Linked DNA regions of Rattus norvegicus. The protein of the gene in region 1 purifies or fractionates together with the protein of each later gene. This does not show direct contact. Links are inferred from orthologs where the notes say so. Each region holds a gene or a part of one and is shown in the gene's direction. Other genes may lie near its edges.

Evidence for each region.
Region 2: the proteins of Nfkb1 (region 1) and Aurka purify together in Homo sapiens (affinity purification with mass spectrometry; 4 studies listed by BioGRID and IntAct, counting the BioPlex papers as one, with this or other methods). This does not show direct contact. The link is inferred for Rattus norvegicus from reciprocal best matches to the Homo sapiens genes NFKB1 and AURKA.
Region 3: the proteins of Nfkb1 (region 1) and Lrpprc purify together in Homo sapiens (affinity purification with mass spectrometry; 3 studies listed by BioGRID and IntAct, with this or other methods). This does not show direct contact. The link is inferred for Rattus norvegicus from reciprocal best matches to the Homo sapiens genes NFKB1 and LRPPRC.
Region 4: the proteins of Nfkb1 (region 1) and Copb2 purify together in Homo sapiens (affinity purification with mass spectrometry; 5 studies listed by BioGRID and IntAct, with this or other methods). This does not show direct contact. The link is inferred for Rattus norvegicus from reciprocal best matches to the Homo sapiens genes NFKB1 and COPB2.
Region 5: the proteins of Nfkb1 (region 1) and Spag9 purify together in Homo sapiens (affinity purification with mass spectrometry; 5 studies listed by BioGRID and IntAct, with this or other methods). This does not show direct contact. The link is inferred for Rattus norvegicus from reciprocal best matches to the Homo sapiens genes NFKB1 and SPAG9.
Region 6: the proteins of Nfkb1 (region 1) and Rnf123 purify together in Homo sapiens (affinity purification with western blotting; 4 studies listed by BioGRID). This does not show direct contact. The link is inferred for Rattus norvegicus from reciprocal best matches to the Homo sapiens genes NFKB1 and RNF123.
Region 7: the proteins of Nfkb1 (region 1) and Nfkbie purify together in Homo sapiens (affinity purification with mass spectrometry; 4 studies listed by BioGRID and IntAct, with this or other methods). This does not show direct contact. The link is inferred for Rattus norvegicus from reciprocal best matches to the Homo sapiens genes NFKB1 and NFKBIE.

Annotation. Positions count from the first base shown.
Region 1 is NC_086020.1:226,697,463-226,700,962, reverse strand, and holds part of Nfkb1 (nuclear factor NF-kappa-B p105 subunit), read left to right. Parts: intron 1-1,272; coding exon 1,273-1,474; intron 1,475-1,906; coding exon 1,907-2,076; intron 2,077-2,368; coding exon 2,369-2,471; intron 2,472-3,500.
Region 2 is NC_086021.1:181,550,770-181,554,269, reverse strand, and holds part of Aurka (aurora kinase A), read left to right. Parts: intron 1-671; coding exon 672-810; intron 811-3,495; coding exon 3,496-3,500. UniProt on the Homo sapiens protein: Mitotic serine/threonine kinase that contributes to the regulation of cell cycle progression.
Region 3 is NC_086024.1:15,622,638-15,626,137, forward strand, and holds part of Lrpprc (leucine-rich PPR motif-containing protein, mitochondrial precursor), read left to right. Parts: intron 1-2,197; coding exon 2,198-2,391; intron 2,392-3,500. UniProt on the Homo sapiens protein: May play a role in RNA metabolism in both nuclei and mitochondria. In the nucleus binds to HNRPA1-associated poly(A) mRNAs and is part of nmRNP complexes at late stages of mRNA maturation which are possibly associated with nuclear mRNA export.
Region 4 is NC_086026.1:108,039,428-108,043,486, forward strand, and holds the start of Copb2 (coatomer subunit beta'), read left to right. Parts: upstream 1-1,259; 5' UTR 1,260-1,346; coding exon 1,347-1,349; intron 1,350-4,059. UniProt on the Homo sapiens protein: The coatomer is a cytosolic protein complex that binds to dilysine motifs and reversibly associates with Golgi non-clathrin-coated vesicles, which further mediate biosynthetic protein transport from the ER, via the Golgi up to the trans Golgi network.
Region 5 is NC_086028.1:79,537,877-79,541,376, forward strand, and holds part of Spag9 (C-Jun-amino-terminal kinase-interacting protein 4), read left to right. Parts: intron 1-527; coding exon 528-584; intron 585-1,504; coding exon 1,505-1,678; intron 1,679-2,803; coding exon 2,804-2,933; intron 2,934-3,376; coding exon 3,377-3,466; intron 3,467-3,500. UniProt on the Homo sapiens protein: The JNK-interacting protein (JIP) group of scaffold proteins selectively mediates JNK signaling by aggregating specific components of the MAPK cascade to form a functional JNK signaling module.
Region 6 is NC_086026.1:117,622,275-117,625,774, reverse strand, and holds part of Rnf123 (E3 ubiquitin-protein ligase RNF123), read left to right. Parts: intron 1-59; coding exon 60-147; intron 148-235; coding exon 236-323; intron 324-408; coding exon 409-493; intron 494-1,675; coding exon 1,676-1,815; intron 1,816-1,911; coding exon 1,912-2,100; intron 2,101-2,173; coding exon of another isoform or gene 2,174-2,189; coding exon 2,190-2,265; intron 2,266-2,490; coding exon 2,491-2,575; exon of another isoform or gene 2,576-2,581; intron 2,582-2,908; exon of another isoform or gene 2,909-3,500. UniProt on the Homo sapiens protein: Catalytic subunit of the KPC complex that acts as E3 ubiquitin-protein ligase. Promotes the ubiquitination and proteasome-mediated degradation of CDKN1B which is the cyclin-dependent kinase inhibitor at the G0-G1 transition of the cell cycle.
Region 7 is NC_086027.1:22,945,073-22,949,165, reverse strand, and holds the start of Nfkbie (NF-kappa-B inhibitor epsilon), read left to right. Parts: upstream 1-1,293; 5' UTR 1,294-1,474; coding exon 1,475-1,851; intron 1,852-4,011; coding exon 4,012-4,093. UniProt on the Homo sapiens protein: Sequesters NF-kappa-B transcription factor complexes in the cytoplasm, thereby inhibiting their activity. Sequestered complexes include NFKB1-RELA (p50-p65) and NFKB1-REL (p50-c-Rel) complexes.

The DNA of each region.
Region 1 (3,500 bases):
TGGACAGCTTGTTTGTTCTCATTGCTTCTGAGGAGAATGCTGCAGTAAGCACCTGCACCATGCCTACCTGTCCATCTGTGACAGAAGCGGGTTACTAGGACAGTTTGAACACTGAGCTCCACAGATCGATTCTAGGGATATCTTGAGACACACATTTTATACGAGTTTAAGATACAATCCTAGGGGTTAAGATCTAGACACCTAAAGTATCACCGTGGTGATTTGTGTTGGTGGCCCACCTGCCGCTGCCTCTCCAGCGGGAACTAATTATTCCCTGAATGGGAGTCCTCACTACGCAGCCTGGAGTTCACTGTAAAGCTCCAGCGAGACAGACTGGCTGACACTGAAAGGTGTCACTCTCCATCAGTGACCTCAGTTCTTTGACGGACACTTTCATGATTGTGTTGACCTTGCTCGTTTCTGAAAACAGTTTTCCATGCATCCTCCTTACACCCACGGAAGCACAACTTTGTAGTCAGGGTAGTCAGAAAGACTTTCCTGTGCCTTTTATGCACAGTAGCTGGGGTTGTTTTCCGCCTGAGCTTTCTTGGGGCGAGTGTTGTATTGGGTGGCTGTGCCAAGGAGAACCCGGCAATACCTTTGGTAGCACGGCAGTATCGCTTGTAACTGTGGCTCTCTTGAAGCCAGCCTGTAGCACCGTGTTCTGGTTTAGCATGTGTATTTCCATACTATTGTGAAGGACGGCCCCTTTCTTGATTGCTTTCTTTTAATAGTGTATTTACATTTCCTTGTTAAAACCACAGCATTGGGGGCTGCAAAGATGGCTCAGTGGTTAAGAGCACTGACTGCTCTTCCAGAGGTCCTGAGTTCAAATCCCAGCAACCACACGGTGGCTCACAACCATCTGTAATGGGATCTGGTGCCCTCTTCTGGTGTGTCTGAGGACAGCGATAATGTACTTATATATAATAAATAAATGAATCTTAAAGAAAAAAAAAAACACAGCATTGGTTGGATTTGACAATGTGTAGAATTACCAGGTATAGATTCCTATCAGAAATTCAAAAAAGCTTAATTTTACTTCTACATGGCTTAAAAAATCATTTAGTAAAACTACTAAGCATTTTAAGTTTATTCTATAACCCTGACTGTTGGATGCTGGTGCCCTTCTTGGGCCTTTGAGCCTGGCATGTGGAACAGAAAGCCCCTTGAATGACAGATGTCCCTGCAGCGTGACTCCATGGCATAGTTCTGAAGCCAGGGGTTACAGATGTTCATAACCAACGGCTCTCCTGCTCCTTCTCTATGTAGACACCTTTGCACTTGGCCGTGATCACCAAGCAGGAAGATGTGGTGGAGGACTTGCTGAGGGTTGGGGCTGACCTGAGTCTTCTGGACCGCTGGGGCAACTCTGTCCTGCACCTAGCTGCCAAAGAAGGACATGATAAAATCCTCGGGGTCCTACTCAAGAACAGCAAGGCAGCACTCCTTATCAACCACCCCAACGGGGAAGGTAAGGGCAGTCACGCTGCTGGCTAACCTTCCCCTGCCGGCTGCTGCAGAAGAGCTTGGCATTTGGTAAATGTATCTGACTTTCACCATACTCCCCTCTGCCAGCCGGAGTTCCTCAGATGTCGTGGTTATTTCTGCTGTTTACCCTTAAAGATGACTCGGGAAAGTTACTTAGTAAGTGGGAAAGCAGGCCTGGGCAAACACTAGTCTTACAGAAAGCATCACATATGTGGAGAATGTTTATTTGGTAGCTCATTGTCTCCCGTGAGCACAATAGGAGCTCGTGGCTTCTAAAAACAGAACAGTGGACCTTCTGAGCCTTTGAAGCAAGCCCTGAACAAAAACCGGAAGTGCCGTGACCTGGCGGTGTCCCTCCTCCCCACAGCCCAGCTCTGGCAACCTTGCCCACATCTCTGCCTTTGCTTGGCCTTAGGTCTGAATGCCATTCACATAGCTGTGATGAGCAACAGCCTGTCATGTCTGCAGCTGCTTGTGGCTGCTGGGGCAGAAGTCAACGCTCAGGAGCAGAAGTCTGGGCGCACGGCACTGCACCTGGCCGTGGAGTACGACAACATCTCGTTGGCCGGCTGCCTGCTCCTGGAGGTAAAGGACGCCCTTGTGATCTTGAACTAAACGCCCTCAAGGAACTTTGCAAAGAGTGACGCTAGGACCAGCTGTGCTGTCAGCATTCAGCTCTGCCTGGCATCTGCTGGTGCTCAGAGAGGCCACTTCCTGCGTCCCCACCTCCAGCCCAGCTCCCTAACTGGGGGACTTCTCCAGTGACAGAGCCAGCTCAGTCTAGCAATTGGGCTAACAATATAACCTGAGGATCCATGGAGATATGGAGGTAGACAAATGAGCCTTCTGCTAACTCTCTCTTTGTGGGTGGGTTTAGGGTGACGCCCTCGTGGACAGCACCACCTACGATGGGACGACACCTCTACACATAGCAGCTGGAAGAGGGTCCACCAGGCTGGCAGCTCTTCTCAAAGCAGCAGGTAAGATGCTGCTGGTCACTGATGGACATCAGCAAAGCAAACTCTGCCTGCAAGTGCAATGCTGCCTTTGGAAGCTGCACTTCTGCTCTGGGGAAGCCTGGGTAAATGAAAACCGCATGGCTGGTCACACTTCAGCTGCAGTGAGGCTCAGTGTGGCCTGATAACCTGGGGTTGACACCTGTGTTAGTTTCCTCCCCCTGGTTAGCTGTCTATGTCGGGTTGTTCAGGTTGACTCAGTGACTATAAAATCTTAAGCTCTGTCAGTTTCTGGTCCTATTACAAGTCTCCCAGAAGGAACATATCTAAAGACTTCCTTTTGCAAAAAGAGTCTCCTAGAAGCCAAAGTCGTAGGAAAAGCAAACGGGCCATGTATTCGTATTATTGTGCATGAGGCCTTTCCTGTGTTCCAGGCACCGTGTTGACATCTCACATGCAGCCTCCTTTAGCACACGTAATCCTCAGTAACTCTGAGACAAGACATGTTGCTATTCCTATCTTAGATCCAAGTAGGCAGACTGGAGAGGTGATCAAGCCCCACTCCCAGTGTCTCAGAGAGCTGTGAGTCACAGCGCCACAGCCCAACCTGCAGACTTATCCTCCACACAGTGTTCCTCTCAGTTGGCCTGGGGTTCTTGGGTTCTTCTGGTTAGCTCCCTAGTCCTGTAAAGCACAGGGAGACATTGCAGCTCAGCTCCTGTCTCCAGTGCCTAGTGTGTTTAGTGTTAACACATGGTGGGTGAGATTGGCATTCCGGGCCTGTCCAGACATAACCTGACTTACCTCAGAGGTTGATAAGGGAAGATTTGTGGACGACACACTCTTCACAGATTCAGGCAAAGAGGCCCTGGTTGTGTTGTGCGTGAGTCATTTTGGAAATCACTTACTATGCTGAAGAGAAAAAAAAAATGTTGTCTCTTAGTCAGACATAGTGACGTACACCTGAAATCTCAACTTTTAGAAAGCTGAGGCAGGAGAATTGCCACAAGCTTAGGTTACCTTGGTCTACATAGTTCCAGGCCAAACCAAGAT
Region 2 (3,500 bases), on another chromosome or scaffold:
GGAGGAGCTGGGGAGCCGGACAGCGCCCCACCCAGCTTGCCTCAGGCCACCACGGGAATGGTTGAATCTGACATTTCCATACACATAGGTGATGTGGCCCCCAGGAAACACTGCTCAAGGGCTTAAAGTGAGCAGTGTGCTTGGGCTTGTTCAGCAGGAGGGGATTTGAGAAAGACTGGATGAATCGGTGGCTTTGGTTTTCCCTTTTTGCTTTCCGTGTTTCCAAGTTTGACACAGGTGCCAATCCTAGGCTCTGGTGTCCTCCGCTTGTCTGGCTTGCTTGCCATCACCTGGCAGGGTGCCGACTGAAGCAGTGAGTGGTGCTACTTGGCACCCACGCACTGCCACCCTGTCTGCTGTGGGTGCTTGTCCTCCTCCTGCACAGAAGCACTTTCCTCCTCAACACGCAGAGAGAGACTGGTGTCAGCCGACACTTCCCACTAAGAATAAAGATGTCTAAAAGGAGCAGTGAGAACTAAGTTTAAGATCTGCTTGTATTTCACGTCCATGTGGGCAGATGGTTAAGGTGTCTTTTTCTTGGCTGGGCTCAGATCTGGGTTCAGACCTCGTGTGTGTTCTGTGACACCTGTTGTCTTTATTTCTTGAGGGGTCAGCAGTCCCTGCTGGACTGGCTCTGAAGCCAGGTGTCACAGTTGTTGTTTCTGTTGCAGGCACCCCAACATCCTCAGGCTGTATGGGTATTTCCATGACGCCACCAGAGTTTATTTAATTCTGGAATACGCGCCCCTTGGAACAGTATATAGAGAGCTTCAAAAACTCTCCAAGTTTGATGAGCAGAGAACAGCTACCGTAAGTGCTCACCCTCCCTCGTTCTCCTAATGTGCCTTCTTGATGGTGGAGTTGGCCTGCGTTCGGAGAAGGGGCTTCACAGGATCAAATATTTGAAACAGGAAAGTCAAGGCAGCTTAGTTGCCTCTAGACGGTTATTGGCGAGCTTGAGCTCTAGCGTGTGCGTGCGCGCGCGTGTTTTTTTGAACACAGTTTCTGGTTCCCACACCTTATTTCTCATACTTTCTTTATAACTAAGCGATCCTGGCGCGTGACTGGTGTGCTAAAGCCCACTCTTCAGAGAGCTTCTGTGTTCTTTGTGACCAGAAAGGGTGTGGGTATGAGAAGATCTTGGTTTAAAGTGTGATTTTGTCACGTCACCATTGTGCATTTGTAATGTAATGCTCCCTAGGTGGTAAGCTAGTTTCTTGGGTGGCCTTTGTCCTTCTACCTAAAGTCAGTGTCCGCCTTCCCATGCTGGCCTCTCACAGCCAGTAAGCATGCTCTCCCCGGGAGAGCATGGCGTGTGACTTATTTGGCGCTGTGTGACAGGAGACCCCTCCTGCTGTAGTCTTTTAGGTTTATGTCATCCGTGTGGATATTTTGCTTGCTTTTTTCTCTGTTCCCATAGGCCAGAGCAGGGAGTCAGATTCCCTGAACTAGGGTTTTTCAGATGGTTGTGAGCACCCATGTAGGAGCTGGAAAGTGGATCTGGGTCCTCTGCAAGGGGAGCCAGTTTCCCTGTCTGTAACTTGAACTGCAGAGGACTTGTTTTGTGTTTGGCCAGCACTGCTTTATTGTGTCCCTGGACGCTCTTCCTGGTTTCCACATAAACCACCACTGCGGGGCTTTTGGCTGTGTGTGCTTTGTTCTGGTGCCGAGTACTGGCCTCATTTTACTTGCAGGCCTGGTCCTAGAAGCAGCCATTTCTTCCTTAAGGATCTCGGCTCCTTGGTGGAGAGTGTTACTAGAACTAAGGACTCCTGGGAGCTCTCGCTGCTGGGATGTTGTTGCTTCTAGGTCTTCAGCTGGGGAGAAGGATCATGCGTGTGTTTAGTGACCAGTATTCGTCCGTCTTGAGCTCATCCATTGTGTGTGGGACATTGTGGACACCCCCCTTTTTGGACTTCACTGTACACTGCACCCCAGCAGCACCCACTGCCTCTCTTTGCTATGCATTCCAGTGTGCCTGGGTCTCACTGTGGGCCTGTGCCATTTGGTGACAGTTTGTCATTCCACACAGCACTCCTCGGGCACTTGCTGCCATGGTTTTGGGCATCAGTGTTTCTGACAGGTAGTCATCTCTCTGTGTTGGTCTGTTGTTTCCAGGGCATGTGACATTGGCTATTTGCCATTTATGCCTTGTCATTAGATGCCTGTATATCTCTTCCTCATTGTTGTGTTGTAGTTCCCTTAGCTCCTGTCCTGTGTGTCCTTCCTGCAGGTGTCTCCTCCCAGTCTGAGTTCTCCCTCTCCCAGCTCCTGCCCTGTGTGTCCGTCCTGCAGTTGTCTCCTCCCAGTCTGAGCTTTTCCCTCCTCCCTTCTCAAGGTGGTTTTTGGCTTCTTGTCCTTAAAGCACGGCAGTTTACTTTTTTTTAAAACCCTGTCTGCTTCCTACATGTTGGAATTAAAGGCTGCCATCATGCCCACCTGACTTGACAGCAGCCCCCATTAATTGGCCATTAATAAGAAATCATATCACTGGACTGTCTTGACCAGTCATCCAAGTACTGGTCTGGAGACTTTATCATATACAGCTTGGCCTTAGCTTGGGCTTGCTCCTGACTAGCTTGTACAGCTTACACGGGCCCACTTTTACTAATCTGTGTTGTGCCGCACGACTGCGTCCCTCTTATGCAACCAGTCCTGGTGCCTGTTTCTTCCTCTGCTTCTGACTCGAGAGCCCCCCACACTCAATACTTTTATTGAGTTCCTGTCTCTGCCTGGAAGTCCCGCCTGTCCTTTCCTGCTTTGCCATAGGTCGTTTGGTTCTTTATTAAAGCAATTAGAAGGATGATGGAGAAGAATGTTTATAAAGCATTGAGACAGCGATGCTTCATAAACAACAATACCAAAGCCTGATCTTGTTCTCCTTTTGGGAAAGCAAAGGTTTTTTGCCAATCATGCCTTGTTACACTAGAGCTGAGGTGGTTCGTGCATGCTGAGTAAGTGGCCACCACTGAAGTCCACCTCACCCCAAGTCTGGGGAGGCTCCACAGGAAGCAAATAGAAAGACGGGTTTGCTGGAAAACGCTCACCACTTTCTGTCTTTTCGTACTTACCTTTCATGTCGATTAAAACTTAACGGAGTTATCCTGAGTGTCCTGCTATGGGATGCAAAGCAGACCTCGGGGCTGGCAATAGATTCCTCAGATCTGGAGGCCGGGAGCTCAAGGTCTGCACCTGGTCAGGGCCGTTAAAATGTCTAAAGATTGCTGAAGCGTTCCATTGCTAGCTGTGCAGTTCTGTAAGTCAGTTTACAGCCAGTGCCTTCCCTGCCTCTCAAGATTTCATTACTCGTGCAAGCATCGTGTTAGCTTGGCCCTGAGAGAGTCTGTCGATCTGTATCTGCTATGCAGACTCACCCCTTTTTTTGCTTCAAGACCTGGAAAGAAACACACTAGTCTATGTTGGATCAGCTTTGAGTTGCCCGACTGCCTTACATGAGCCTGACCCCTGAGCCTCCTGTGCTCTTTTTCTCAACAGTACAT
Region 3 (3,500 bases), on another chromosome or scaffold:
CTGTGGTGGTGGTGGAGGTGGTGGTGGCGGCAGTGGTGGTGGTGGTAATGTATACTATCATTTAAAGCTCCATTAACCAGGGACTGCATGGCATTGCCCTCGGCCCTCCACACATACGTTGCAGTTGTATAGCTTGGTCTTCCCGTGGGACTCCTAACAGTGGGAGCAGGGGCTGTCTCTGCTGTCGCCTGCTGCCTTTGGAACCCTTTCCTCCTACTGGGCTGCCTTTTCTAGCTCTAAGAGAAGAGGAGGTGCTAGTCTTACTGCAACTTGGTATGCCAGAGGCTGGAGAATATCTAGCCCGCCCTCTCCTGAAGAGAAACAGGTGTGATGGGGGAGTTACGGGAGGCGGGGACTAGGAGAGGAGGGAGGGGAAATGGGTAAACTGCAGCCAGGATGTAAAAAGAAGTCGTGGGTGTGCTCATCAATAGTCATCTGATTTGAGTGGCATAGAAGTCAGCAAGTTCACCTCTACTGCGCAAAAAGTTCTGCATTGTATGAATCAGTGCACGTGTTCTGAGTTATCAGTAGTTTTTGATGATTATTATAGTAATGGATAACCATAGGGGGCAATATGCATCTTCTCTGGTCTGTGGGTGATAACACCCACCTCTCCCTCCCTCTCTCTCTCTCTCTCTCACTCTCTCACACTCTCTCATTCTCTCACTCTCTCACTCTCACTCGTGCACATGATGTGCAGAGGATATCACCTTACTTGGCGATATCCCTCCCCACCCCCATAGTTTCTGATTTATTTCTGTATATATGATGGTCAGGTGTTGTGATTGTCTCTGGTCACTGGTGTAATTTCTACAACAGTATTAGTTACAGACTCTGGTTTGCATGTGACACAGCTTTTGATGCCACTTCACATACAGTCAGTTTGTGATGCAGGAAAACGGTGGCTTTGGGGACAGTGAGATCAGACCTAGGGCCTTTTGCACACTAAGCGAGTGCTCCATTACTGACTTACGCACTTAGCTCACCACCGCTGGTAAAAGGTGGTCTACAATCCAGAGAATGTGGTTATTCTGGAAGTATTTCTTGAGTTAACATTTTTAGGCATAATACTTAGTATAACAATGGCAGCTGAAAATAAGATATTTGGAGTAGATCCCCAAGAATTGCATATGTTAAAAGGTAAGATATTGAATTCACAGAAAGCCTGTCAAAATCAAAGATTTATGACAGTAATTTTTACATCTAGGGATTTTTTTTTTCTTGGTTTGTCATCAAGTACAGCATTAATTCCTATAACATGAAGCACCACTGATAACATGTTTATGAACATTCAATTGTATATTAAGCTGCATTATCAAATATTGATTTAAAGAGTTTCTTCTGGAGATATCAGTAGCTCAGATTTTTGGGGGCTTCATTAGCACGGGCCCCATCCCTGCACCGAGTAAACTGTGGTGCAGGCCTGCTAGCCCAGCAGAGGGAAAAGCAGGAAAACTACAAGTTCAAAGTTATTGTTGGTTCTTTTGGAAGTTCCAGGCCAGCCTGGACTGAATGAGTTCCTATTTCCAAAAAAAAGAAAAAAGAAAAAAGAAAAAAGATTGCTTATTCTGTAGAAACATGTATTATTCTAATTTTAGCTTATGACATCTTTAAAACTGTTTAAGCCAGAGTGCAGTTTTATTTTTGACAGTTATTACTTTAAAGACCGAGGGAAGCATTCAAACAGCGTGTTGACTCAGAGTCATGAAAGCGGGTGCCTCGGACCTAGTTATGTTCATAATGACGTAACCAAGTTATGGCCATAATAAACTTATGCCCAGACAAAACCCTGAAGGTAGTTTAGAGTTTGGAGGCTGCCTTGGCCTTTGTCTCACTCACATGAATGAGAAGAGTGCGTTATGAGCTGCCTCATTTTTCCTTCATTAAGGGAAAATAATTTTAGCTTCTTAGTTTGAGATGACTTCATGTTGAAGGTTATCAATCCACTCAGAAGCAGTGTGTGTGTTTGTGTGTGTGTGTGTGTGTGTGTGTGTGTGTGTGTATGTGTGTGTGAGAGAGAGAGATTGATTGATTGATTGATTGATTGATTGATTGATTTGCTTCAGTGTACACTTTGCTCCAGGCTTTGCAGTTTGTGTGTGGTGACTGTCGGAGCTGGTGTGGACGGGTCACACAAGCAGTGCCTGTGTAGACAGCAGTTTGCTTAGTTTATTACTAATTCTATTTCATTTCACAGAGAGCTGCTGAGCCAAGCCAGGTTGTATGCCATCGTCGCTGAAAAAAAGGATCTTCCAGAGGAGCCTGCTCCTGTGAGAAGGAGTGGCAGTCAGTTTGATTGGGCCCTAATGAGACTGGATAATTCTGTCCGGAGAACGGGCCGCATTACCAAGGGGCTTCTGCAGAAAGTCTTTGAGAGCACGTGCCGCTCAGGTATTGAGAGTTTCTCGGTAGGAAGTCGAAGCTTGTAACGGTTCCTGGAAGCTCACTGGGGAGAGCATCATTTGCTATTCAGCATCAGTTCTGATGTCAGCTGTGACTCTGATCCTGCTATGCTTCCAATTCATCCAGGCAGAATTTGAAGTAACACGAGAATATTTTGTTTAGAGTTCATTTCAGAGTCAACAAACAAAAACGTCTGTTTGCTTCCTCTGGTTTCTAGAGTTGCTCTCAGTGGTCAGCTGAGGTAGAAGACACCAGGCTTTCTCTTCTTTCTTTGTGTGGTATCAGCTTTTCCTGAGGTGACCTCAGTGAAGACTGACAGGCACCAGGTCACTTTGATCTTGGATAGTGGGACAGGAGCTGCAGACCCTTTATTCCCAGGCTTTCCCTCACATCACAACTGCAGCGAACCAACACGTATAATTTTGTGTGCAGTTGAAGAAATTCTATACACTCCCAGAGCCTGTTAGGGGTGTCCCTTTGGTATGGAGCAGAGCTTCTATGACAGTCACAGTCACATGCACTCAAGGACCAGAACCTCCCATCCACTCAGAGCTGTTCATCTGTCACAACTTTTCCATGGTCACCCTCCCCAGCCCTTCTCACCCTTTCCAGTCCTAGGCACACACAAGCTATTTTCTGCCTGCCCTCTTAGGTGCTTGCTCTGGATGGACTTATAGATAGAGCTATACAGTGCATGTTTAGTTTCTGCCCTCTTAGGCGCTTGCTCTGGATGGACTTATAGATAGAATTATACAGTGCACACTTATTTTTGTTTCGTCTTAAAGTCATTTTCAGGGACATGGAGATGAGCTTGAGTTTGATAATGATGAGTCCTTATGTGCCTTTTGTCATCTTCATGATACCGAGATGCTTAGCCTTTGGCGTGTAGCAGATACGCTTAAAAATTTGCTTTCTTTGGACTCATTAGTTTTACAGATTACGAAGTTTCATAACCTTAGGCTTCTTAAAGCAGACACTGTTAGAACTTTAAATTGTAATGTGTACTGATGATGTGGATCGGGCGGTGTTTGGGTACGGCCTTGTCTTTGTTGAGCCAGGAGGCTGTGGATAATTAAGGGATATTCTTCTTGATCTCG
Region 4 (4,059 bases), on another chromosome or scaffold:
TACTTATTGATACTGTGTCAAATCAAAAATGCAAGAATTAAGGAATCAAAAATATTAGCTCCACTATTCTACCACACTAGATTATAGTTCACGTTTAAAACATTTTCAACTGAGCTTTGCAATTGGTTACTGCACGGTGTGCAATTATGTGATTATTCATCTCACTCACGTAAAATCTCATTACTGAGAGAAAATTTGTTTTTACTGAGACAAAAGAGTAAAGGTGGATCTTTGGAAACTACCCAACTTTTTGTACATGAAAATCGAGGCGCATAAATCTCCCAAGAGCCAGGAACTAATGAAAACACCTCCTTTCTGGAAACCTAGGCTTTTCTCCACCAGAGGTTTATAAGCAGCAAAGGGCAAGTTCCATTGTTTCATAGCATTTGCTTTTTAAAAGGTGTGTGTGTGTGTGTGTGTGTGTGTGTGTGTGTGTGTGTGTGTGTGTGTGGAAATCGGTACACAGTGCATTTGCACTTTTCCTGGCGATTCTTAGGGCGTGATATTTTCTGAAATTGAACTTATTAAAGAGCTGCTTTGGCGTAACAGATAGAGCACGGGGCTCCCAGGGCTTATCCCCCTGAGTCCAGATTCTAACAACACTGCTTACTATGTCATCTTGGCCAGTAAACCCAAGTTCCTTGAGCCTTACTTTCCTAATCAATAAAATGGAAACGACTCCTGTGTGGTGTTGGCTATACATTCAGCTGTAACCACACAAACGACCAGGAGGATGCTTTTTGAAGGGCAATCACTCGACTGACTCCGGGAGGATCCAGAACCAAGATCTCAGGACTCCTCGGAGCTTCAAAGGCGGGAGACGTGCCTACATCTCTTCCGCCTCGGTCGGTATCACCCAAACCAGACACCGCTCTGGGCCCCGTTCCGGAGCCCGCTGGAGTACACTGTTTCAGAGCCTTCTTTTCTCCGCCAGAGGCTCATGTTGTTCGGATAGGGCTTCCGGGCCCCATCGCTGTTGCCGGCGTTAAGCAGGAATTCAGCACCGTGCTCCATCTTCTTAGCTTTCTGAACCTGCTAGCAGGTAAACTGCCCGATGGCCGCTGGTCACCGCCCTATCCTAACCTCAGCAATACACGGAACAGCCAACTCAACAGCTCCGCAGCAGAAGACGCGGAAGGCCGCGTTACCTAGGAAACTGGGGCGGGACTACGCGCAGATTGCCTTACGGAGAATTTGCGCAGGCGCAGAGCCTGGTTCCGAGTGTCGCGAGAGCCGCTTCCCGGAAGTTCCACGTCAGTGGGTCCACTGCTCCGTGGGTCTGTGTGTTCTTGAGTACCAGTGTCGCTCGGAGCCTGTGAGAGGCTGGGGCTCGGACAATCGGAGCCATGGTAGGTCGAGCCTCAAAGGACAGAGAGTGGAGCCTACCGGCTACGGGGTTCCCGGGGCCTCCGGGCTAGGGGCCGTAGTTAGAAGCGGTCTGCGCTGCTGCGGCCTGGCGGGGTCCTCCTGTCCCGTTGGGAGTCCTGGGAGGAAGAAGGCCAGACTGGGAGGCTGCCGTGGTTACACGGTAGTGTAGGGGGGTGTCTGCGAGTTAGCTGCCGCCGACTCTCCTGGCAGTCAGGGCTCCTGTCAGTGCACCTGCAGTCTGCAGTGGGTCCAGTAGTGCAAGTAAATGCTAGAGGTAGGAGTCGGGCGACAAAGGCTACTTTGACAAAGTCACTTCATTCTGTCATTGAAGTGATGTTTGCTAATCCAGGTTGCGCGCGGTGTTTGATAGTGTGCACACACCAAATTGCAAACTTAAGCAGAGGGGGGAAAAAGTTAAATGTATGTGGAATCAGAGGCGGAATTTCAAATGCTTTGGCGGCCCAGTTCGGCGTTTTCTAGCTGGTGTTGATTGGGCCTTCTAGGCTCACAGAGGATGGTATTTTGGGGAAAGGCCCTTAGATCTGCCTCATTTCATTTTGAGACATATTTTTAATAGTGAAACCTTGCTTTCATTCTTCAAGGTATGTGAGTCCCATACCCACAAATTGAACCAGCTTTTGGTGGAAGACATTTGGGGAAAACTATTGTGTGAACATGTGCTGTTATTTTTTTCTCCTTGTGATAATATACAACAACTCTTTACAACTTTGACCCTGTATTGGTGTTGTAACTAATGTAGAGATGACCAGGAGTCATGGGTAGATTATAAGCACTAAAATAACTGAACTTGAGGGTTTTGGTTTGGTGGAGGGTACTGGAACCATGTGCAGGCACCAAAGGATGACTGTATTTTAAGTCTCCGGTAAAAAGTACAAAACACGAATTTATTTATTTGCTCACTCACCATAGGAGAACTCACTCTCCTGTATTTTGCTAAACATTTACCAGCTGATTGTCACAGCAGCCTGTAGATAATTATGAGTAATGTTTATGGTGGTTCCTGTAAGCCTTGCTCTGGTCTGCTCTAACTGAACTCTGATTTTAAATCTCGGAATGCTAAGAGAGATATTATTATCCCCATTTATACAAGCCAAACCTGGGAGGCTAATTAAGCTTAATACTGTATGTCTGACTTGAGAGCTGCAGATGAGGCTTGAATGTAGTGTGGATCTCAGTTATACTACCTGCTCCTCCCCTGCTCCCAAGTAAATACGGTGTGGAGAGAAGGACCTGGATAAGCATTGAGGCAGGCCCTTAAGAAATAATCCACTCCACAAGCAAGAAGAGCTGTGCATGTGGATGTACTATAAACGGGGGGGGGGGGGGGGGGGGGGGGGAATCCTCTGGCTAGGCCAATCAGAGAGGGCGTAGTGGTGGCAGCAACATTTAAACTAAGTCTGGAGTTGAGGATGCAGTGTGAGTAGGTTAATCATCTAAGACCTGGTATGATGTCTTTTTTTTTTTTTTTTTTAATCATGACTGAGATGGTAAGTATGACTCCAGGAGCTCTTGCCTGCAGTAATGGACATTTTAAAATGGGTGTCTTTGCTTGGAGTATGTGCAGCTAGACTAGATAGTTCAGAGATCCCTGGCCATTTTGAAAAATCAATTTAAAAACATTGTTAGGATTTATCCTCACAATCCTATTTCACACACACACACACACACACACACACACACACACACACACATACTTACTTGGATATGTGGCTTATGTTATGTTGAAGACCCACTATGGCTCCTGGCATAATATACTTCCTGCTTGTTGTTGGCTCAAAGAAGTAGTTAAAATCCATGTCAGTAGTCAGTGGGGCAAAAATTCAGAAATCATTGAAAAGGTTTGTTTTCCTGAAATTAGCATGTGATTTGAAGATAGTGGCTTGAGTATATAAGAGATAGGCAGGACCACACAGCAGTGGAGGAGTTCTCAAGAAAGCTGAAGAGAGAAAACACCGTCCTAATGTTGTTTTTGAAAGTGAGGGAGGCAAACATGGAAGAAGTTAGAAGTAGACAAAGAAGTTAGAAGTAGACAAAGACACAAAAAGAGGTGAATAAACGCCTTGTTAGGTGTTTGTTTCAGGATATTATCTCTGCCAGATCCTCAATTTGTGCTTAGAAGCAACCTTAGATTTCTGTTGAATTCATGATTGTTACAGAACAGCACAAGACACTAGCACAGAGACTCATCTGGCCAGTAAGCTTTCAGGCTGTGCATTAGGCTTATTGAAGGGGACATGCATTTGACCTGCGCGGATAAGAGAGAGTGCTCCAGGGCATCTTTGAACGAATTAACTTTTCTTCTGTGGTGGCATCCCTAGGAGAAACGGAACACAGTCACTCAAATCAGTTTCTGGTCTGCGGTTCAGAGAAGGAGTCTAACTGGAAAGGGGCAGTTTTAAACTGTTACTATTTAATGGCTTAATTTGTTTAAAATTGTTCTACTTTTCAGTATGTTTCTATACATTCAAAAGACCTTTATGAACATGAGTAAACCCTTATTGATCAGGCATTACTACTTGTCTACAGTTTAAATGTCCTCCCCATCTGATTATTTTTAAAGAGCTCATTTAATATTATGGTTTAGGATTAGTACAGTTTCATGAATGACATTTTCTGGTACAGCACTCATGCATGGACATGAAATTGTGACGTAGTTGATGTTTTGAATTT
Region 5 (3,500 bases), on another chromosome or scaffold:
AAGTTTAGAGCGCAGATAAAAGAAACCTTAAAGTAAGAATAGGAATTTGTAAGAAGTATTTTAAAGAGGGAGCTAGAGTATATCTTTAATTTTTTTCTTTGCTTTTTGTTTGTTTGTTTGTTTGTTTGTTTGTTTGTTGAGAGAAGATCTTGTTCCAAACTGGCCCCAAACTTACAGTCCTTCCACCTCAGTCCTGAGTGCTGGGATTAGAGTTTTGTGCCATTACACCCGCCGTGAATGCTTTTGTGCTGTTCGTCAGAGGCCTGCTCTTGGAGTCTAGCCACTTGAAAGATGATGATGCTAAGAGGAGTTCTCGAGACTAAGACTTTAGGGCTAGTCTGAACAACAGAGTGACTCCTTGTTTCTTAGTAACAAGAAAGGGGGAAAACTTAACTATCAACATTGAGACTTACTGGTTATTTGTCTAACACTGGAATAATGCTCTGACAAGAGTCTGTAAGAAAGTCTAGCACTCTAACAAATACATTTGTTTGTTTGTTTGTTTGTTTGTTTGTTTGTACATTTAGGGCCTCCCGAGAAAATCCAGCTATGCAAGAAAAAAAAAGATCAAGCATCTGGCAATTGTGAGTATAGTAAGGACCAGAATCAGAGGTGATGCTTGGAGACAACACGATACTGACTTTTCCCAGTTGGGAGGAAATAGCTAATCCGAAATCCTTCTCTTTAATATACAGCATGCCAACTCGGTAAGGCTGTGCCTCAGGACCCAGAGTAGGCTATCGTAAGCTGCACTGTGTTGGTTATGCCTTTGTGGAATCTTCTGCTGGCTTACATAAAACCATGGGGAATTATTTATAAAATTGACAGTTACATGAATCCCCATCAAAGAGAAGATGAGAAATTTGATATTTGTACTGCTCAGTTAGTCTTGCGTGTGTTAAACTTGATTATGTTTGCACCAGAAGTACTGTCTCTTTTTTGACATTAAAACTTACCCTTTAGGATTAATCTTGTTTACTGGAAGCATAAATGTTTAAAACTGTGGACATGAAAATAGATCCTCAAGTTGAGCCTAGAAAATTCATGATATGAGTTAACTTGGTGATGTGTGTTCCCGGTGTAGCAGACCTTTCTATGCACTGCACGCTAAGCTTTGACTGTCATCACAGTCATCCCCCTGCTGCTCACTGACCACTGTGACCTTGTCCCATATAGGAGCTAGCCAAGGAGCCTTTGTATCATACTTGTTTAGTGGAAGCTTTTTGTACGCAAAAGCATCTCTTTCGTTACAGAACTTGCTTATATCTGATCTGGCATTCTAAGCAATACTTACTTTCCCCTGAGTGTCCACGTTTGGTTGTGACTGACTGCTAAGGCTGTGGTATAACTATAAAAGCGATTTTGCGAATGTCTAACTCACTGCCTCGTAAAGTTCAAACTTTCTTAAGCATAAAAGTTTATGGGAAATTGGGGCTTGGTTTTCACAGTGCATGTAATAGACATAGCTATAGGTTTTGATTGTTTGCCTCTCTTATTTTGATAGTTTCAGCCGACTTTTTAGCTCTTCAAGTAATGCAGCAAAGAAGCCCGAACCCCCTGTTAATCTGAAGTACAATGCCCCCACCTCTCACGTGACTCCCTCCGTGAAGAAAAGGAGCAGCACTTTATCTCAGCTCCCTGGTGACAAGTCCAAGGCGTTCGATTTCCTTAGTGAGGAGTGAGTATTCCGAACAGAGTGCTAGAACCGGTCACCCTTACTAACTCCTCAGTCGCTGAGAGAAGTCGACTGTTTGTAGCCAGGCATAAAGGCTTATGTTAATCCAGGACTCAGGGTGCTGATGCAGGAGATCATCACCAGTTCCTTGCCAGCCTGGTCTGTACAGACAGTTCAGGCTAGCATTGGCTACACACATAAACCTGTCTTAAGAACAAAGACTATTATTTTGCGTGTTGGGGTTATGGATAGAAGTGGAAAGAAGAAAAAAAAAGGATGGTTTCTATAGCGTGGATGGATGCTTTTAAGTAAATTACCTGTAGAGCTTAGTAATGTCATTCTAAACCTGTGGAAGCTGAGGCAGGAGGATTGTAATTTTGAGGCCATCCTGAGCCACAGGGATTTGGAGACTTTGCCCCAAAATGAGTGAATGAATGAGTGAATGAATGAATGACTTGTAGCCAGCATTTCTTGTGAAAATTGCACTTTAGGACTAGTGAACTGGTTGAGCAGGTAAGAGTGCTGCCAACCTTGGTGGACTGAGATCCATCCCGGGACCTGTGTGTCGGAAGGAGAATGCACTCTTCTGGCCTCTGAGGGCACCAGGCATGCACATAGTGCACAGACATCCATGCAGGCAAAACATTCCAAACACCTAAAGAAATAATTATATCTAAGTTTAAAAAATAATCATGAGAAATGGTGTAGAATCTAGGAGTTTAGCTTAATCACCTTCCATAACAGCTGGCATTAGAAAATTCTCAGTATTTTTTAAGAAAAGAGAGATCCCAAATTACCTCAGAAGTTTATGCTTTTAAATATAACATCTGAAACGTCATAAGTTTGATGACTAATAACTCAGTTTAATACAACATGCTGCTTATTCCCTGTTGAAGGCTGGTTTCACAAACATGGAAAAATCAGCTTTGGTATAATCCTCATGAGCGCGCGTGTGTGTGTGTGTGTGTGTGTGTGTGTGTGTGTGTGTGTGTGTGTATCTGTCTGTGTCTGTGTGTCCGTCTGTCTGTCTCTGCGTCTCGGGTACAAGGCTCCAGGGTGGAGTCAAGGATGACTCAAATGCTGGATTGTTGCATTCTCATAATTAAAACTGCAAATGTCTCCTTTTAGAACTGAGGCTAGCTTAGCCTCCCGCAGAGAGCAAAAGAGAGAGCAGTATCGGCAGGTGAAGGCTCATGTTCAGAAGGAAGATGGCCGAGTGCAAGCTTTCGGTTGGAGTCTGCCTCAGAAGTACAAGCAGGTACTTGGGGATGTGATGAGCGTGTCTAGCAGGAAGTGCACACTGAGAAGAGTGTGCTTGAAAACTGTGAACTAGAGGCAACATCCTAAATTCCTCATTGCGGCCTGCTTCGATATGTTTAGACAAATTTGGAGGATATGGTCTTTCAGGCTATTTTCTAGAGCCCTAGAATGTAGTAAACATGCCAACTCCTAAAGACTAAGCACTTTTGTTTACAAACATGCATTTACGTACACATGCATGATGGTGGTTTCTGCCTCCTGCGAGCTCTCGTGCTTACTGTCTGCAATTGCTGCTTGAGTTTTGCTTATTTTTCAAGTAAGAACGACAGAATCAGACTTGACTTGATTTCAGGAGCAAGCCTGTGACAGTAATGCTACTTATGTGTCTCAGTAGTTCTGTAATCTCAGTGTTAATGGGACTTACTGATGTGTCCCCCTTAGGTAGCCAATGGTCAAGGGGAAAATAAGATGAAAAATTTACCTGTGCCTGTCTATCTCAGACCACTAGACGAAAAAGATGCGTCTATGAAGGTAAGCTGTGACATTGAAGGAGGGACTCTCAAAC
Region 6 (3,500 bases), on another chromosome or scaffold:
AGCCTTGGGGTTCTCGGCCCATGCCAGAAGCTTGCTAAGGCATTAGCATATCCTGACAGACATTCGAGACTCGCTGATGCAGGCCCTGGCCAGTTACGTGTGTTACCCACATTCCCTGCGGGCCGTGGAACGGATCCCCGAGGAGCAGTAAGTAGCTTGGGGGGATATGTACCCCTCTGGACAGCACCATGCCCAGCCTCACTCTATACCTGCCATCCCTCACCTTCCTTCCTAGGCGCATCGCCATGGTGAGGAACCTTTTGGCCCCCTATGAGCAACGACCCTGGGCCCAGACCAACTGGATCCTGGTGCGGCTTTGGAGGGTAAGCCTGACCTGAGGGCAGTAGCTAAGGACTGCGGGAAGGAGATGCCACCCTGTCCCTGACTCCCGACTATTTAACTCCGCAGGGCTGTGGTTTTGGGTACCGCTACACACGGCTGCCACATCTGCTGAAAACCAAGCCAGAGGATGCTAATTTGCCAAGCCTCCAAAGTGAGTATTCAGATTAGACTAGCCCTGGAGACAGCCCCAGACAGGCAGTACCCCTTTCCTGCTACTCTCACTGCCCTTGAGTCTTCTCCAAGCCTCCTGCCTGGGCTTGTGTCAGGCTCCTAACCTTCCCCTCAGGCCCCCATTTTCCTCCCTCTTAGCACAGGGATGCTTCAGGATGAGAGCTTTTGTTCCCTTTGGGCTGGTAGTGAAGGGTTAACAATGGAAGGACCCCTTCAGCTTGGCGGAAACTCATAGTGGGTAGGGACATATTTTATTCACTCCCCTCTGCCTGCCTCTTTACTCCCAGCCATATCCCTGAAGTGTTTCTTCCTTCTTTGTTATCTTCTGGCCTTGGACCTTTGATTCAAGAGGGGGCACAAGCTAGAAACTGATCAGGACGCAGAGGGGGCATAGATGTGGCTAAGAACAGAGGCTCTCAAAGTGTCCTTAGCCCAAGGGCCTTCACCGGGTGCTGTGTAGCTTGCAGAGAGGGCTCATCACACTCCTTGCAGCCAGTGTCTTGGTCTCTGCATGTTTCCAGAGAGGTCAAAAGTCTTGTGCAGACTCACACAGCAAATCCTTCCTTGCTGAATACCCTCACCTGGACTCTAGGATGGACCTGAGCTGCAAGGGGGGAGGGGCAATGGGCCCCGATACCATCCCTGTGTGCAGGAACTATTGATTTGCATCAGAGGGTTGGAGAGGTATGTCGGGCCAGCTGCAGCGGAGAGCTCTGGTTACTGCTGCCCTTCCAGCCCAGACTTGGCGCTCAACACCTAAGCCAAATGCCAAGGCCAGACCAAGGGCAGCAGAGGACAGCAGGGCAGGGTCTGGGCTCTTTATGAAGCCAGCCTTGACACTAGTGCGAACAGTCAGGGTTGTCTTGTCTATATCTGACATCTGCCCGACAGGCATGTGATTCAGAACGTGCTTCAGGCCAGGCCCGCAGCTCTCGGCCCATGGGGTATGACAGTATTGGAAACACCTGCAGCTTTTGGCTTGCCCAGCAAGAGGGAGACACACTTGCTCCTAAACTCTCAAGCCAAACTGTGCCGTTCCTCGGCCTTCGTGATCTGAATATTCTTAGGCAGTCATCATTTTGTTCTTAAAGCAGTGGTCCAGGAGGACAGGCAGGAGTCCTGTCGTGGAGTCCCTGGTCACACTGCTTTCCTCTGTCCCCAGAGCCCTGCCCTTCAACCTTGCTACAGCAGCACATGGCAGACCTTCTGCGACAAGGTTCTGATGTGGCACCAAGCTTCCTCAACAGCGTCCTTAACCAGCTCAACTGGGCCTTCTCTGAGTTCATCGGCATGATCCAGGAGGTGGGCTGTGGTGGGGAGGGGTGGGCAGAGACCGAGGCACACCAGTGCTGCAAAGCCTCTCTCTGATTGCTACCTGGCTGCCTGTTGGTGGTTTAGATTCAACAGGCTGCTGAACGCCTAGAGCGAAACTTTGTGGACAGCCGGCAGCTCAAGGTCTGTGCCACCTGCTTCGACCTGTCAGTCAGCTTGCTGCGCGTCTTGGAAATGACCATCACACTGGTCCCTGAAATCTTCCTTGACTGGTCCCGCCCTACCTCTGAGATGCTGCTTCGGCGTCTTGCACAGGTGTGTCCATCTGGACGAGGAGGGAAGGACCCCGGGGATAACTCAGGTGGTGCACTTGCCCACCCACCAATAGGCTTCTGCCCTCACAGCTGCTGAACCAGGTGCTGAACCGGGTGACAGCTGAGAGGAACCTGTTTGACCGTGTAGTCACGCTGCGGCTACCTGGTAAGGATCTAGGTGCCCTGCACCTCAGCACACCAAGGCCTTAGCTTCTCTGCCAGGAGCCTGTGCTAGATTCTCCATTCAGCACCAGGACATCCATGCTGTGCACTCCCAGCCTCAGCTTGCCTTAAGTAGGAAAAACAGTGGGAAAGGCCAGTGGTATCAGCCAGGCCTGAAGCCTCTGCCACAGAACCAACATAAGTGGTTAATCTTCCTTCCCTCCCTTAGGGCTGGAGAGTGTGGACCACTACCCTATCTTGGTGGCAGTGACCGGCATCCTGGTACGCCTCCTGGCACACGGTCCATCCTCAGAGTGAGTACTGGGGACTGTTGGCTCTCGTGGGAACTGGGTGTGCACTTTGAGGAGGGGCTGATAGGGCAGAGCCTCATGGTACCCAATTGTCTCAAAATCAGAATCAATTTTGGGACCCTGAGGCAAGGAATACCAGGTGATGTGTAAACTGCTTTAACAGGCGTCAACATCAACTGCCCGTGGCTGGGTGGGAGGTCTTAGCTTTCAGCCACGCCTCCTGCAGGGGGCATAAATCCCCAAACTTGGAAGATGTGCTATTCTCTAATGGTCAGGGCCATCCTGCTGGATCAAGAGCTGAGCACACAAAGCTACCGACCTGGGAAAGCCCAGCAGTGAGCATGAACCACTTTTATTACAAAACGCCTTAGCAGTCATCTAGGACAGGGCTGTCAGCTCATCGTGGGAGAGGCTCAGACCATCTTCACCACCTGCAGTGGGAGTGCCAGAGGCATGGACTGAGGGTTCTGTTTAGCCATTAGGTTGAGTGCCAGTCCTTGCGAGGCCTCTGCTCTCCAGAGCCAGACGCGTCACCTATCTGTGCTTTTTCCTGCTGGGTTATGAGCCCAAGGGACTGGATCTGCCTCTGGCTGAAGACAGCAGGGCTACTCCTGCAGGGGCATCCTGTAGGAGGGATGCATGCCCAGCAGACTCCACAGGAGACTTTCAGCCTCCAGGAGGCCGGAGGCAGTAGACTGGGTCCTCTTCAGAAGGTAGAGGGCTCATTTCCTCCTTCTGTCATAGAGTGGGAGCTGGGTCTCCTGAACTGCCATCTCCTGCCTTGGGCGGGGTGGGGCGGGGCAGTGTATGTTTGACTTTTCCATACCATACCACACCCTGATGTCTGCATTAACTCCTGGGGGTGGTCCCAAGACTCTGATACAAGGGCTCTCACCAGATTGGCTTGGTCTATAATCATAATGGGACA
Region 7 (4,093 bases), on another chromosome or scaffold:
TCGAATTCTCCTGCCAAATCTGCGATCAGGGGACTTGACACAGGAGCTCTCTATGAAGATTTCCCAGGGAAATGATGCTCCCCTAAAGATAATAGGTGCATCCCTCCTAACCAATCCCCCTGAGGACTGATGAGGGGGGGTGAAAAGGCAAGAGAAGTCGAGAAAAAATAGGCAGAGGGTAGCAAGCAGAGCCCCTCCCCTCATCTGTGCTGGCTGGTCAGGTGACTTGATGGGAGTTAGAGTCATCTGAAGGGAGGGAGCCTGGGTTAAAATGCCTCCCTAGGGGCTGTAGAGATGGCTCAGTGGTTAAGAGCATTAATTGCTCTTCCAGAGGTCCTGAGTTCAATTCCCAGCAACCACATGGTGGCTCACAACCATCTGTAAATGGGATCCAATGCCCTCTTCTTGTGTGCATGAAGACAGCTACAGTGTACTTGTATAAATAAAATAAATAAATCTTTTAAAACATAAATAAAATAAAATGCCTCCCTAAAATCCAACAGGAAGGCACTTTCTTAATTAGTGACTGATGGGGAGGGCCCACCCCATTCCATTGTGGGTGATGCCGTCCCTGGGCTGGTGGTCCTGGGTTCTTTAAGAAACCAAGCTGAGTAAGCTATAGGGAGCAAGTCAGTAAGCAGGACCACGCCCCCTGGCCTCTGCATCAATCAGCTCTTGCCTCCAGGATCCTGTCCTGTTTGAGTTTCTGTCCTAACTTCCTTTGATAATGCACTATAATCTAGAAGTATAAGGCGAATAAATCCTTCCCTCCCCAACTTGTTCTCTGATCAGGATGTTTCATTGCAGCAATAGAAACGTTAAGGCACCGCCCACCAACCTACGCAAACTCCCCACAAAGTAGCCAGTTTGTGCAGAAAATCAAAAAATGCACTTTTTAAACAATCGAACGAATAAACGAATGAAGACACCGCGGAACTAAACAGAAGGAACGAATGAATGCATAGAATTAGTGAATGAAGTAAAAAGAAAGGGGAAGAGCGAGTGAATGAATGAATGAGTGAATGAATGAATAAAAAAATAAATGAATGGGCGAAACAATCAACACGAGAGTGAGAGAGTGAGTCAAGTCCGGTAACCAGAGACTCCCTGCCTACGCAAGCAGCAAACAGGGGGATTCCGGAGGGGCGGGGCTCTACCCGGAAGCGCCTTTGAGGGGCGGGGTCATGGGCGTGGTAGTGGCTTGTGGCCACTTCTTGGGCCCGGGGGCGGGGCGAGAGAGAAGACCTGACTAGGGACCCTTCAGCTGCCCAAAGCACCCGCTGCTGGAGACCTCGCCGGCGCCCTGGACCTCTCGCTTTTCTCGTCCGCTCCCCGCGCCTGCACAGCCAGGTAATGAACCCGCTCGCAGAGGGACTCTGGTTCTGTTAGGCGGACACACAAACCCGGAAAAGCGCGCCGCACACCTCAGAGTTAGATCCCGCTGGACCCTGGATCCCGGGCTGGCGCGGCCGGCATGTCGGATGCGCGGAAGGGGCCGGACGAGGCGGACGACAGCCAGTGCGATTCCGGCATAGAGTCGCTGCGCTCTCTGCGCTCCCTGCCCGACCCTGCTGCGGCCCCAGTCTCTGGATCATCGCACAGCGGCTGCCCACAGCCTTGGAGCCATGCTCCGAAGACGGACAAGGAACCAGAGGGGAAGGAAGATGCGGATGGAGAGCGAGCGGACTCCACCTATGCCTCCTCCTCTCTCACAGAGTCTTTGCCCTTGCTGGAGAGACCCGAGGCCAAGGATCCAAACCCTCCCACCCCAAGCTCGCCGGTGTCCCCCGCGGGGGTGCTGAGCCCTCAGCAACTCGAAGCGCTCACGTACATCTCTGAAGATGGAGACACGTGAGTAAACTAGCTAGGCTGAGACAGGATGCTCAGCCAGAGCCTCCTTAGGAGCTGCAACTGGTTAGGCACCCACGACCACTTCATCACCTGAGAGGATAGACTCTTCTTACAGCACCCGCCCCGGAATGGCCAGCCCCACCCCACCTACCCCCTTCTCCAAACTCCAAACTTAACCTGCAGCCTGCTTTTAAGCTGTAGTTCAGCTATAGTTTAAGCCAGGTTCAGACCAAAAAAACAGACATCATCATCTCTTTTGGGAGCGGACAGAGCTAGCAGGGCCCTTGTTACCTAGAACACCAGGCAGAATCTTGAAAATCTACCGGTGACCCACCCCGGGGAAGAGGAATTCCCCCACAACCTCCCAACCAATTCGGTTTTTGTTTTTCTTGTTGGGGGAAGGGGTGTCCCTGTTTGCTCAACATTTGGGATACCAGGGCCTGACTTCAGAACACCCTAACCAGAGGGGGAAAAATGATAACCCCAGGATTACAGGTTGTCATCTGAGCCCAGGAAGCATGGACTACGGGTACTGCTGGGTGCCTGTTTGGAATTGGTTCCAAAAGAAGGGTGGCTAGACTGAGAATTCTTGCCCCCAACAAACAGGATAGCCAGCTGCCGCCCCGGCTCACTTCCTCCTCTGCTGAGAAAAGGGAAGTAATGGCTTGGCGTCAGCCTCCTCAACACACTGCACCTCCCAAGCTCCCCAAATTCTCCTTACTGTCCTATGTTATCCCGATCTTCTCTTTCCTCCCCTAGGCCCAGCTGGAGTCAGGTGCAGCTGGGCTGGGAGGTTATCAAAGTCAGAAGAGGTGACTGGGCATTGGGGGTGATAGAGCAGGGACAGCTGGAGACCTAGATGAGGGAGATACTGGTGTGCAGGGGGATACCTGCCCTGACCTGCTTGTTGCAGAGGTAGGGGTCTCTGGTGGACACTGGCAAAGATAGTCTCAATCCTGTGATCAGGAGGAAGGTGGTAAGCCTTTTGTATTACACACACCAGTCACAAACCCTTATCACAGAACCCCAGAGTTCTGGGAGCACCACACACTTCTCAGGCCGTCCTCCACGGTTAGTCTCTGAGCTGCAGCCTTGATGAGCTCTGCTTAGAGACAGGTGCTGAAAGATTCATCAGGACTCCCCAACAGACATCTTCCCTCCTTTGGAGATGGCTGGACTGTGGGAAGTGTGGAAGTGCGAAAAGGAAGTGGGCGGGAGGAGGGGAGACTGAGGGAGAGAGGGAGGTGGCTGCAGGAATGTGACCCAGAGAGCAGGCCCTGGCCGAGGGGATTTCCAGAGTGGTTCCTCCCTCCCTCCGTCACTCTCTCCTGGCCTCCTTTACTGCCTGCCTACAGCAAAAGTTTGCCCCCGTCCTGCCTTAGTATCCCCCTCCCTAGCCCAGACAGCCTTTAGCCAAGTTGCCCCAAGGCAGCTGTCCTAGTCTAGACCATCTAACCCTGGCTTTCGTTTTCCCCACCTGATGTGGGGAAACCCCAAGACTGGAACTTCCCATCCCAACTGCCCTGGCTGGCCCTAACTTATGCTCCCCATCAAACCCATTTTCTGCACTGCACCGTACTCCTCTTGGAGCTGTACCTAGGAGAGGGTTTGTGGCCAGACCCCATATGGCTTGTGCAGGCTGAGGAATGGCCCTCTTGACTAGTGGGTAAGGCAGCAAGCAGTTTGCAATGCCACGCTGGCTCCTTGGAATGTGTGACATTGAGTTGCTGGGGGAACCCCACGTCTGCCTCCTCCCGTCCTCCCTGTTGTGGGGAGGTGGGGAGCTCAGCCCTGGAAACCCCCTGTGTTCCTCCAGCACCTTTCAGTTTAGCTTTGAGCCGCAGCTGGCCTGACCTGGCCCCCGGGGGCAGAAGAGAAGCTGGGTGTAGGCAAGTTGGACAGGAAGGCCCGTGTTCTGTCAGCACCCTGCCCACATGCCCACCCAGCCAGGGCCCTCCACAGGTCCAGCCATCTGAACTTGGAGCTCCCACCTCCAGAATCCTGGCTTCCTGTACCAACCCCTCACTTCCTGGCCCAGACTCTCACTTCCTGCACCTGCTTGGTTGTGGGTAGCTAGAGGTTGAGGCATTCATTCTAACCCCAAGATGCCAGCTTATCCTCTCTGACCTGGACTCTGACCCCAGTCCTCTCCTGCTCCAGGCTGCTCCACCTGGCAGTAATCCATGAAGCCCCATCGGTACTATTCTGTTGCTTGGCTTTCCTGCCCCAGGAAGTCCTGGAT